Linked DNA regions of Caenorhabditis elegans. The protein of the gene in region 1 purifies or fractionates together with the protein of each later gene. This does not show direct contact. Each region holds a gene or a part of one and is shown on either strand. Other genes may lie near its edges.

Evidence for each region.
Region 2: the proteins of gcy-18 (region 1) and madf-8 fractionate together in Caenorhabditis elegans (co-fractionation; one large-scale study listed by BioGRID). This does not show direct contact.

What each region holds. Positions count from the first base shown.
Region 1 is NC_003282.8:12,858,434-12,866,368, forward strand, and holds gcy-18 (Receptor-type guanylate cyclase gcy-18), read left to right. Parts: upstream 1-1,663; 5' UTR 1,664-1,703; coding exon 1,704-1,975; intron 1,976-2,055; coding exon 2,056-2,165; intron 2,166-2,216; coding exon 2,217-2,297; intron 2,298-3,035; coding exon 3,036-3,136; intron 3,137-3,420; coding exon 3,421-3,595; intron 3,596-3,641; coding exon 3,642-3,934; intron 3,935-3,974; coding exon 3,975-4,122; intron 4,123-4,380; coding exon 4,381-4,589; intron 4,590-4,635; coding exon 4,636-4,724; intron 4,725-4,774; coding exon 4,775-4,864; intron 4,865-5,105; coding exon 5,106-5,526; intron 5,527-5,679; coding exon 5,680-5,881; intron 5,882-5,927; coding exon 5,928-6,113; intron 6,114-6,164; coding exon 6,165-6,336; intron 6,337-6,385; coding exon 6,386-7,178; 3' UTR 7,179-7,523; downstream 7,524-7,935. Other genes in the region: nstp-5 (UDP-galactose transporter), read left to right, coding at 68-144, 510-814, 863-941; clec-186 (C-type lectin domain-containing protein), read left to right, coding at 7,725-7,822. UniProt on the Caenorhabditis elegans protein: Guanylate cyclase involved in the production of the second messenger cGMP. Regulates thermotaxis responses in AFD sensory neurons. May regulate AFD neuronal activity such as calcium responses to temperature gradients.
Region 2 is NC_003281.10:3,648,026-3,652,461, reverse strand, and holds madf-8 (MADF domain-containing protein), read left to right. Parts: upstream 1-1,629; 5' UTR 1,630-1,714; coding exon 1,715-1,721; intron 1,722-1,765; coding exon 1,766-1,872; intron 1,873-2,152; coding exon 2,153-2,215; intron 2,216-2,262; coding exon 2,263-2,390; intron 2,391-2,440; coding exon 2,441-2,568; intron 2,569-2,614; coding exon 2,615-2,807; intron 2,808-2,857; coding exon 2,858-3,010; intron 3,011-3,425; coding exon 3,426-3,549; 3' UTR 3,550-3,670; downstream 3,671-4,436. Other genes in the region: gsr-1 (Glutathione reductase, mitochondrial), read right to left, coding at 1-415, 466-823, 879-1,133, 1,452-1,486; Putative potassium channel regulatory protein unc-93, read right to left, coding at 3,687-3,764, 3,814-3,910.

The DNA.
Region 1 (7,935 bases):
CATTAAAATTTTAATTTTTCGATTTCTCTGAAAATGAAAAAAAAACCTAAAAAATGAACAATTTCAGGTTCAAATGTGTCGATTTGGATCAGAAATATCCAGCTGGCGTTCCCATCGATTTTCTTCGCTTTTCTCTTTGCATCGGTACGGATTTGCAGAATTATGCTCAAAATGGCCGGGGAAGCCTGAAAAAATGCGAGAAAAAGCTTTAAAAAAAGCTGAAAATCATCAAATATCACGATTTTTATATTTTTAAAGTTTATTTCAAATCAATTTTTTAGTAAAAAATTTAATTTTTTGCATTAAAAAAAATTATTTTTTATTTGAATGATTTTCAAGATAATTTCTTCAAAAAGTTCCGTTTTTCTTGGGACCAAAAAAAACCAAAAAAGTACTATTACAAAAAAATTTTAAATTTAACATTGAAACTGTCAATGAACATTTTGACCATTAATTAAAATTTAAAAAAAATTAAAGTTATTCTCGCTTTCTCACATCCAATTTTCCAGGTAAAAGACAATTCAAGCCTCTACCAAGACGGCCCGAACCCAATCGAAATCTGGAATAACATGCTTCAAGGATTCGACTGGGCAGTCTGGGTTACTGTAGCCATCAACGCATTCGGAGGACTCGTTGTTGCAGTCGTCATCAAGTATGCTGATAATATTCTCAAGGCATTTGCAACATCACTTGCCATCGTTCTCAACTGTATCGCTGCTTACTTCCTGTTCAACTTCCGTCCATCGATTCTCTTCCTCGTCGGAGCTTCTGGTGTTATCGCAGCCGTCTTCGCCTATAGCATGTACCCGTACAAGTGAGTAATTCGGGTATTGAAGTGGAAAATTCATGTTTTTTTTTGCAGAGCCTCTCATCAAGCCCTGCCAACCGATGCGCCGAAAGAAGTCGAGTTGCAGCCTGTGGTCGAGAGCAGCAAATCATAAATTTCATCTCTTAGAAATGTTTTATTATGGGAACGCAGAAAAATGCGCTTGTTGAAATCGATGCAACTGAGCTCCACTGCTAAATGAGAACGATCCGCCTTTAAACGTTGGGTCTCGTTAGGTATTGGCGACAAAACCAGCAATTCTAACGTTTTCCATCATTTTCGCCGATTTCAACCAATTTTTCGTCTTTGTACTATTTTCCCGTTGAAATTGATGAAAAACCTTTTTTGACAAAAAATCTTATAAAAACAATGGAAAATCACCGAAAAAACGGGACTCAAAGTTTGCCATTGGAGCGCGCTTGCACCTCAATTTCAAAGCTCTCATTTTTCTGCGTTTCCATAATATTTAAAAATTTTAATCACAAATCTATAATATCAAACCCCCTTCTTCTTGTTTCCATGTCATTCCTTCCAAATATGTTCATAGCCAAAAAATGTTCACTGTTTTTCATCTTTTTAAAATGTTTTTTATCTCCGGGTTTCTATTGTTTTCTCTGTTTTGTTAATAAGAACGAATTTTATAAGTAAATATAAGTAATAGTAGTACGTAACACATGAAAATCCTTCGGAAAAACTAATCAAACTAATGCATATTGTACGGATGGATAATCTAGTACTGACGTATTTTGAGTAGACACAGTAGTTAATCTTAAATTTAAGCAGCTCAAATCAGATTTCAAGTGAAGCGGCAACGTGGAAGAGCTCAGTTGGAAGAAATAGATATTTCGCAGCTACTTTGCAGTCGGAGCATCAGAAAATGCTAAAAACGTTGCTTTTTATTCTAATTTTCTTTAATATTCCCATTATTGCCATTGAAGAAATCCCGGATATCAAAGAAAACGGTGAAAAATCGTCGTACACTCAATTCGACAATGGCGCCAAACTGGAGGTCAATAAAGAGCACAAACGCGTCATTAAGATTGGTCATATCGGAGCTGTCGGGGTGATGCCGAATGATGCTCGAATTTTGAATATTAGCAAGGAAAATCTGATCGAAGAGGGTCTTGTCGGCGATGATATTGAATTTGAGTAGGTTTAGAAGAGTATAAGACAACAAAATTATTGAAAAAAAAACACAACTTGCACTACTGATCTTTTGTGCGATTTAGGATAGTGTCACGACAGGCTTGCAGTGAGAGTTTTGAGGGAGTTGCAGTCGCTGCAGAACTATATCATGTTCATCAGGTCAGAGCCTTTATTGGACCGTACTGTGCAGCAGGTTTCCACTTGGCAAGCTGTTGATTGGTGGCTTAATTGAGTGGTTTTTCAGAGCTCGAAGCTGTGACAAAAATGGCAACTTTCTGGAATATTCCAATTATCTCTTATTCTAGTGTTCCAAATGCTGTTTCAGGTAATTTTAAACATATCACGTGGTGTCAGAGTGTCTCATTTCGGCTTGATCTACGTAGATCTACAAAAAATGCGGGAGAAGAGACGCAGAGTTCTCATCTGGTTTTGCATGGTTAAGAACGTGCTGACGTCACATTTTTATGGACAAAAAATTCCCGCATTTTTTGTAGATCAAATCTTAATGGGACAGCCATGGCATCACGTGACATGTCGATATACTCTTGTGAACCATTTTATGTAAACCCTATTGTTTTCGAATTTATGAGTCGTTTCAAGTTATGTACCGTGGAGTAATGTAGAGTACCGAAATTTGAGACTTTGCTTTTTTATACCCAAAATGACCCAAAACTACCGAAATTCTACACGAGACCTTTTGAAATTTTCTCAAAAAAAAGTTATGGCGGTTCAAAGTTTAGGAAAATAAAGCTCTTTTTAGCTAAAATCACAATTTTTCCAACTTCAATTATTATTTTCAACTAGTCTCAGATTTCAGTACTCCACCTTTAACTTAATTATATCAATTTTGAAAACTTCTGAAACGCGCACTGAAAGCCGTACGAATTAATTCTGTTGGGTCTTGCCACAAAACCTCGTGACGAGACCTTATAATCCGTGCGATTTATTTATGCATTTCACTGTTTAAACTCGGGCTAGGGACCTGGCATAATCGAAACTTTATTAGACCTTTATTAGATTAATCAATTTAAATTAGTTAATTGTTGAAATTCAAACATTTCAGATCGTAGTGTCTACAAAACATTGGCAAGAGTTTCGTCGAAAAACACAAATTCTATAGCAGAAGCGACAGTCGCCTTGCTTCTACACTACAAGTGGCTAAAGGTATCCAGATTTAATTTCACATTCTTGACATCTTGGGCGTCAAAAGCCTTAAATTATTTCTGCTAAACAATTTTTCATCTGAAACCTTGGAATTGAAATCATATGGGGAAAATATTTATTGTGGCATTTTTGTGTGTTCAGTTTATTCACTAAAGTTTAAGATTAAAATTTTGCATTTACAAGCCTTTTTGCTGAAAACAAATTCCAGCTGTTTTATGATTCCAAATACCTGGTTCAAGTGCCAATAACCTAGTGTGTTCCGCAATACTCCAAAAAAATTGCAGGTGGCTATCGCTACAAACACCGGAAGCACAGCTTTTGAAAGAGTCTCAATTTTCGAAGAAATCATGCACAGGGAAGGTGTGACTATAGTCAAAAAAGTAATGTTTGATGAGAACACTGATGCAAACGAAATGATGAATTCCGGGCAACTCGGAGATTTGGCCGCTAACGCGAGAAGTTTGTTTCAGCAGTTTAATTACCTCTGATCTCTAATACTTTCCAGTAATAATTTGCCTCTTCTCATCTACAAAAGAACTATCCAAAGAGTTTATGCAAGCTACGTACACAATGAGAATGAATAATGCAGAGTATGCCTATATAATTCCATGGTTGCAAAGTGGAACGAAAGATTTGACGCCGTGGATTGGAGCAGATGGGGAAATGCTCCAAAGAGTTAAGGATCATTATGCGAATGCTATTATAGTTGATGACGTCAATGGATTTGATGATAGTGTTGTTAGCTCTTTTGTCGAGAAGATTGAGAAACATGGAATGCAGAAATCTGATATTGATGTGGTATGTCTAATAGAGTTTCAGAGAAATAAGTTAATTTCAGACTAATATTAATGGATATCTTCACTTGTTTGATTCTCTAAAACTTTATGCATTGGCAATTCGGAAAGTGTTGAATGAAACTGATAATGAGGCTTATGTGACTAATGGACAATTTATTTGGAATAGAATGAGACGAATGAAATTTGAAGGTAATTTTACTTTGTGTTTGTAGTTTCCGTTGGGATTTTATCGCCAGCTTTCTGCCGCACTTACAAGCCACCTGCCTTGCATTGACATATCTCTGCCCTACATTGTCAGCTTTCTCCCAAGCATTGCCAGCATTTTGCCGCAACAGGTCAACTTTCGCCCGCAAATTCTACCCCGCGCTAGATTTTCCGTATAGGAACCCCTTCGTCTTCCCAGTTCATAAAAACCTAAATATTTTGCATCTCAAATTATAAATTCAGGAGTTGTGAGCAGATCCAGCTCTGAGGAGAATAAAGACGCAGGAGCAATTGGCACAGTGCTCATGGATGACGTAGCAGATCGGGCACCAATCTTCTCAGCATTCTATATATCTCCAAATCGGGATAAAGTCATGAAAATGGTGAATATGGAAAGCGAGTTAATATCCAACTGTGATGGATTGAAGAATAAAAGTGGATGTTTCCAACTGGTGAGTCAGAACATTTCTGGGATGTTCTACAATTAAAGATTTTCAGAAAATCAACGACATCAAATCGGGGTTCTGGCCAAGCGAGGATGGCTCAATGCCACTTGATGAGCCAATTTGCGGATATCGAGGACAGAGGTTGTCTAGATTTAAAAAAAAAAAAAAATCTAAATATTTTCAATTTTCAGATGCAGTTACCTACTGGAAATCAGTGTTGGATCACTTATCATTCTTTTAATTTTAATATCAGTTGTGTTTTTCTTCTTGTTTAGATACTGGTGAGCTTTTAAATATTTCTAGCTAAAAATCTTCAAAAGATGAAAATTCATGAATTTTACTTTGAAAAATTAGAGCAGCTGACATCTTACGGGTTGGGTTTTGACCTTTTAAATTTTTTAGGGCGAGAACTAAGTCGCAAGGTGTCGGCTGCTTTAATTAGGTATTTTCAAACTTGAAAAGAACAACAGAAAAACGCAATGCCTACCTCCTTCCTACCTGCCTACATACCTAACATTTAAGCGAAAACAAGCAACTTGAAAAGATGCCTTGGCGAATTTTCCACGACGATCTGCAGTTCATCGACGAGGAGCAAGTCAAATCAATGATGTCAGTTGGCTCAGTGACTACCAAGTTGAGCAATATACAGACAGGTCAAAAGCAGCATGCAATAATTGGTGTGAACACCCACACCACCTATCATCGTTACAAACAAAGAAGACCCATCAAGTTTATAAAAGAGGACATGCAGTTGCTGACACAAATGAAACAAGCGGTTCATGACAATTTGAATCCATTCCTTGGAGCTGCTTTTAATGAGAAAGAGGAAATGTTGGTTTTGTGGAAGTTTTGTAGCAGAGGAACGATTCAGGATATAATCTACAATGCAAATGTAGTACTTGATGAGAAGTTCCATGGAGCTTTTGTTAGGGATATTACTTTGGTAAGTTAGGCACTTGGTAGGTAACATCTCAAGGGTTTGCACCTGATTAATGCCTACTGGTGTTATCAAAAGTAACGAAACGTTCATGTTGTGAGGTTAAAGTTAACAATATGAGATTACAACGACAAGTTCAGAAATGTCGGATGTTCTCAGGGTTTGGAGTATCTTCACGCGTCGCCTATCGGCTATCACGGATCCCTTACACCATGGTGTTGCTTGATTGATCGAAACTGGATGGTTAAGCTGTCGGATTACGGTATCGCTAATCCACTGGAACGATGGGAAAAGCAAGGGGCTATTGAGATTGCTGCTGCAAAAGATTCGGACGATAAGAGTCAAGCATCGCAGGCAACTTGTGAGTTTTCTGTTAGAGAAACTGGGGGAAAATCAAGCATTTTCAGCAATAATCTATATGGCTCCTGAACTTCTGAAAAATCGAGAAACAAACAAGAGAAGAGGAATGGATCAAAGTTGGGTGAAGCAATCAATGCTGAGAAGACAAGCCGGAGATATTTATTCGTTCGGGATGGTCATGTATGAGATTCTATTCAGAAGTTTGCCCTTCCGGGATAATACAAACATCAGTGGTATGGAAATTTTGTTTGCTAAATAAAAAAAAGCTTATTTATTTTTTTCAGAACTTGTCGACTATCTAGCAGACGGATCGAAAACCGTGTCACCGGAGATTCAAAACCAAATGGGACTCCATCCAGATCTGAACGCTCTGCTGAGGGATTGCTGGAGTGAGAATCCAGAGATTCGGCCGTCGATTCGACGAGTTCGACTGAATACGGAGATGGTCTTGAAAACGTGAGACTATTTGGAATTCATTTAATATAGGGAAAAGAACAGTTTTCAGAAAAGGAAGTCTCGTTGATCAAATGATGAAGATGATGGAACAATACGCAAACAATCTGGAGAAGCTTGTCGCTGAAAGAACTGGAATGTTAGAAGAAGCCAACATCCGTGCTGACCAACTCCTCACCCAACTCCTACCAGCCTACGTGGCAAATGAGCTGAAAATGGGAAGATCTGTTGCTCCGAAGCTTTATTCATCGGCGACAATTCTATTCTCAGATATTGTCGGATTCACTACAATATGCTCCGGCTCAACTCCACTGGAAGTTGTCAATATGCTTAATGGGCTGTACACTGGATTTGATGAATGTATAACTCGGAATAAGAGTTACAAAGTGGAAACTATCGGAGACGCTTATATGGTTGTATCTGGGATCCCTGAAGAAAATGAATATAATCATTCGAGGAACATTGCGAATACTGCACTAGACATGCGTCAGTACCTAACCGGATATCAAATTCCACATCGTCCAACCCATCGTGTCCGTTGTCGCTGGGGATTCCATACAGGATCCGTCGCCGCCGGAGTCGTCGGGTTGACGTGTCCAAGATATTGTCTCTTCGGTGATACTGTCAATGTTTCGTCAAGAATGGAATCAACTGGAACGCCTGGAATGATCCAAATGAGTGAGGAGGCTCATATGCACATTAGAGCTCATCATCCGGTGTTTACAACGACTGAAAGAGGAGAGGTTCAAGTGAAAGGAAAGGGCACTTGCAGGACATTCTGGTTGGAGGATCGAGTTGGTGACGCCTCGACTACAAACTACATTCAGAATGTGGAAGGAGTTTAGCTACTCAGCTCTGAAATCTATAAAATTTCAAAATGATAACTTTCCTTATTTTTGATAACTATACATACTGTCCCTACCAATTGAACCTTTTTGTTGCTTTTTCTGATGGTACACCCTTTTTGGTCCTTTTGTAGTTTGCCTATTAATCACAGAAATAACTCGTTCAGCTTTCCTATTTTTTAAACTTCTTTACGTTATACAAACATCGTCATTTAAAAAAAATCTTCATAACTTATAATTGGAACTTTACATTTTCCGACCATCCTACCTGATAATTCTCACCATTTTCCCATATTTATATAATTACAAAAAAATGAATAAATAATTCCAGGTTGAAATTTGAAATGAAAAAAATTGATAATGGAAAATGTCATCGAAACACAGACCTAAAATGACCTTATCCAAAAAATGACGTCTGTGGACCTTTGGGCGTGTAGGCACAAGCTCTTATCTTATCAGCCGGGTTGAAAAATAAAATAAAATGTCATACGAATTTTATCGAAAACTGAATAACCGCAAGAAGTGCTGCAGTTTCCCCCCGTCACAATGCTCCTATTTTCTGCTTTTTTGATATTCGGGTTTTCTATTGGGTTTTCAGAAGAAGCGAGTTGCAGACATCCACATGAGAGGTTTATTGGAACTAGGTAAAGATTTTTTAATTTTTTCCGAGTAGGCGAAAATTCCTGCCTACCTGGTGCCTACTGTCAATTTAAAACTGATTTTCTTGAAATTTAGTTTTTTGTCGGTTGTTATTTCA
Region 2 (4,436 bases), on another chromosome or scaffold:
TCTCATAAGTCAACTTATTATCAGTTTCACCATTGAACAGACGATGAGAGAGTCGACGTCCGGCAGCAATTGCGACTGGTGTGAGAAGGAACTTTCCAGTATCATCTCCAACAGACAAAATTCCTGGAGCAGATGTGTTCTGGTACTCATCGACAATAATATGCCCAGATTTGTCGGTTTTCACTCCAACACGTTCCAGATTAAGCTCTTTTGTCAGTGGATCTCTTCCGATGGCCCAAATCAAAGTCTGAACCTTTTCGATGACTCCAGTCGTTGTCTTGATTGTCAAAAGACCATCATCTCCTTTGATTACTTCTGTGACTTGAGTATTTTTGTGCAAGTGAAGTGGATTCGTTTCCTCGTCCATATCAGCAGTAAGTTCATCGCTGAGCATTTTGTCAAATGTGCGGAGAACCTGAAAATTATTTAGTTAAACTTGAAAAGTTTCCATGTTCCTCATGGTACCTTATCGTAACGAATAAGAAGATGCGTGTCTGAACCAAGATTTGCGAGAACTCCAGCAATCTCTACGGCAATATAACCAGCTCCAACGACAACGGTCCGGCTTGGCAGATCTTCGAGATCGAAGAATCCGTCGGAATCAATACCGTGTTCGGCTCCTTTGATGTTTGGAATGGTTGGCTTTCCTCCAACAGCGATGAGCGTGTTCTTTCCACGATACTTCGCTCCGTTGACCTCAACAGTTCCGTCTTCTGCAAAAGTTGCACGTCCTCGAATATATTCGACTGAGGATCCTTTCAGTCCACTCTCATAAAGACCATTGAGTCGTTTGATGTACTCATCTCGCGATTTTTTGATCACTCTAAAAAACAAAACAATTAAGAATTATTTGATTAAACTAATTAAAAATTACTCACTTCCAATCAAACTTGTTAAGCGTCACATCAAATCCGTAATCAGCGTGGTCCCGGATGAATTCGGCGTGGAGAGAGCAATTGTACATAACTTTCTTCGGAACACATCCAACATTGACGCAAGTTCCTCCGAGACGTCCAGATTCGATGAGCCCGACGGAAACTCCGAATTCACGAGCACGCCGAGCAGAAGCGATACCTCCAGATCCTCCACCAATCACCAAATAGTCGAACTCCTTGACGCCAGACATGATCGACCTGGAACTCGAATTTTAATAATTAAAAGTTGGAAAATAACAGAACTTGTAAGAACATCGAAAGAGAGGCGCGATTGAAAATTCGCAGAAAAATCAAAGCTTTATTTCTTTTCAGTCGCGAAGTGGACTTTAAAGTTTATTTTTCGAATGAAATACTCAAAATCGACTGACGCAAAAACGATGACAAATTACAAAGATAGCAAAGCGCGACTACAAACATGTGACCGCCCTTCTTCCGAAATTCGAGAGGTTTTATGGAAATTTGACTCCACAAAGACTACAAAAACTTTTTTTAAACCAAAAAGTAACAATTTAATACCTCGAAGTGCTCAAAATGCAGCGAAATCGGAGCATTCAGAAGGGTTCACAGAAGTTTTTAGACATTTGATCAGCAAAAAATAAACAAACATCAAGGACTAAATTGTGCGCCCAAGTTGCAAATAGCTCGCGCCCATTTTGCGAATTGAAAACTCCGCCCCTTTTTCAGCGCGCGAAGAGTTTAAAATTTGAAATTTAGAAGTTTTTTTGGAAATTAAAAATTCCGCTCAATTTTCCAAACGGATTCGCACGCTGGAATAAAAAATGACAGGTAAATGTTGAAAAATGGTCTATATGAATCTCTCAATTTTTCAGAAGTTGAAAAATCTCGAAGCGGCCGAATAGTGAAGCGAAAAGTGTTTGCCGATTTTCAACAACTCGATGACGACTTGAAATCAATTACAACGGAGGAATTAAGAGAGGTAAAAAAGACAAAGAACAATCGCGAACGTTCTTCGCAGTGTCGGGGCAATGACAAATAGAAAGAAACACTGATTTGGTCAATAGTGGAGTGCGCAGAGAAGAAAGACAATTTTATTAGAAAAAAACCAAAAAGAGCGCGAGTGGGCAATAAAATTAAAATAGTGATTATTTATATGTAGTTTCAATCAATTCAATCAGGCACAAGAAAAAACTAATAAATGATGACAAAAGTTTCACTGAAAACTAGAAAAAATGATGACAAATCAAACATTTTTTCAGAGCGCCAGCGAATCGAAGAAACTTCGTCTTGGACCAACTAGAAGATCTTGTCGCAATATTCCGGTACAGCTTTTTATAATATTCGTTTCAATTCTATTCAAAGATTTCAGACAAATTACGAAGAATTAAAAGCGAAAACTGATGCCGGAATTATTCCCGAAACAGTTTATTATCGAGCATCCAACAATTCGATGTACATTCCTTCAATTACAGCCGATATGCTCAAGAATGATGGAAAGTATGAATTAAAACATTTATTATCAGATTTCTTTTTTATCCTTTTTTCAGTGATTTGACTGTGCAAACACGCTCAGACAAGTATTTTAAGTACAATCGGGTCCGCCAATCTACAAAAATCGATTACGCGGAGCCTGAAAAAGTGTACGATATTATATATGCAGTTCGGAAAAGGCCTAGTAAGTCAGGAAATCAAGAAGTTTTTCCAAAAATTTCCCTTTTTAGTCCTATGGGATCAACGCCTGATTTGTCATCGGAATTCGAATTTGTCTCGCCGTGCTTGGGATCAACTCGACTTGGAACTTGGAATAGATGAAGAGTATCCATTGGCTCGGCGTAAACAAATCTGGAAGAGTAAAAGAGATTATTTCGTATCAGCGGTGAACGCCGCCAATCTGAGAAAATGGATTTATGCAGAGTACGGCTGGAAAATTGAAAATAATGAAATGAAAATAATAATTTTTTCAGTGCATTAGAGTTCTACCGTCCAATGATAAATTTCCGAACGACATTCTGTCTCCGTCCAACCGTCGCTCAGCCATCTCAAAGTGTTCATGATAAATTAGTATTGGCTGATAAGAATATCCAATGCACACCTGGTGATAAGAAAAATGTTCTGACGTGAGGAAAATTCCCAACATAAAAAGTGTACTCCTCGAAGAGAAGTTTGCATTTTATTTTTAAAAATTCACAACTTTTGGGTATATTTTGATCTATTTTGAACCATCTTCGCCAATTCTTTTGCTGTAAAAAACTTCAAAAAACAAAAAAAGTATAGAAAACATGATTAAAAAATCCTTTTTCTATTTTCAGCAGGAATTTTGAATACAGCTCGACGGGTGCTAAACCAATTTGGGTCCCGTCACGAAAACTACTGTAACTACAAAACGGTGCTCTAAACTCGAATACAGAAAAAATTAGCTCAAACAGTTCCAAATCAAGAATTTTAGCCGAAAACTGTGTTCTTCTTCTTCTCGAGGAGTACACGACTTGCGTAAATCGACACATACGGCTTAATCCTATTAAATTTTTCCAGATTTCTTCTAAAATCTCTCTACGACACCGGAATGTCGAGTCCCGAAATGATGGCTGAGCATGGACTGGAAATTCTGAAAATTTTCAAGAAAAACGCAGAGTCTAGCAATTTGAAACTCAATTAGCCACCCGCCACGTTTTATTAATTTTTATCACATATTTCTCATTTTACTGCATTTTGTTATACTTCTCGACTTTTCGAATTTTTAATAAAACATAAAGTACGAATTTATTAACTGATTTTTTTGATTTTTAATTATTTTCATTCAAAATCTGAATTTCTATCATCCAACGGTTCCTTCTCTGGACATGACGTGTGAATTAAGTGATGCCAAAATTTCTGGAAAATTTAAAATTAGAAAAAATTAATTTCTTCGAATCAGCCTTACAATAATGTGATCGAAATTTTCAATTGCTAAAAATCCGCACATTCCTAAAAGTAGCATGAAGAATGTTATCAGCAAATATATTTCAACTGTGACGTGTCTGAAAATTCAATTATTTTTCAAGTTAAATCTAGCGTGGCCGGGAAATTTAAAAGAAAACTCGGCCACCTGTTTTTTTCACGGCCAACATTATTATGGAGACGCAAAAAATGCGAATAGTCAGATTGAGGTGCAAGCGTGCTCCACGGCTAAATGCAAATGTCCTGCCCCCAAAAGCTGGGTCTCGTTAGGTATTGGGGACCAAAACGCGAATTTTAACGTTTTAAATGTTTTTTGTGTTTCTAAAAATGTTTTTCGTCATTTTTTCCACTAATTATGTTTAAAAATACGTTTTTAGTTTAAAAAATAGTTCAATTTTTAAATTCCACTTTATTTCATCAATTTCGGCGAAAAAATCCTTACAAAGAACGGAAAATATAACAAAAAAAACGAAAAATGCATGGAAATCGGCGAAACTAATTGAAAAAGTTTGAATTTACAAGGTCCCACCACAACTACCTAACGAGACCCTACTGTAGGGGGCGGAGCGTTTTCAATTGCCCGTGGAGCGCGTTTCCACATCGATT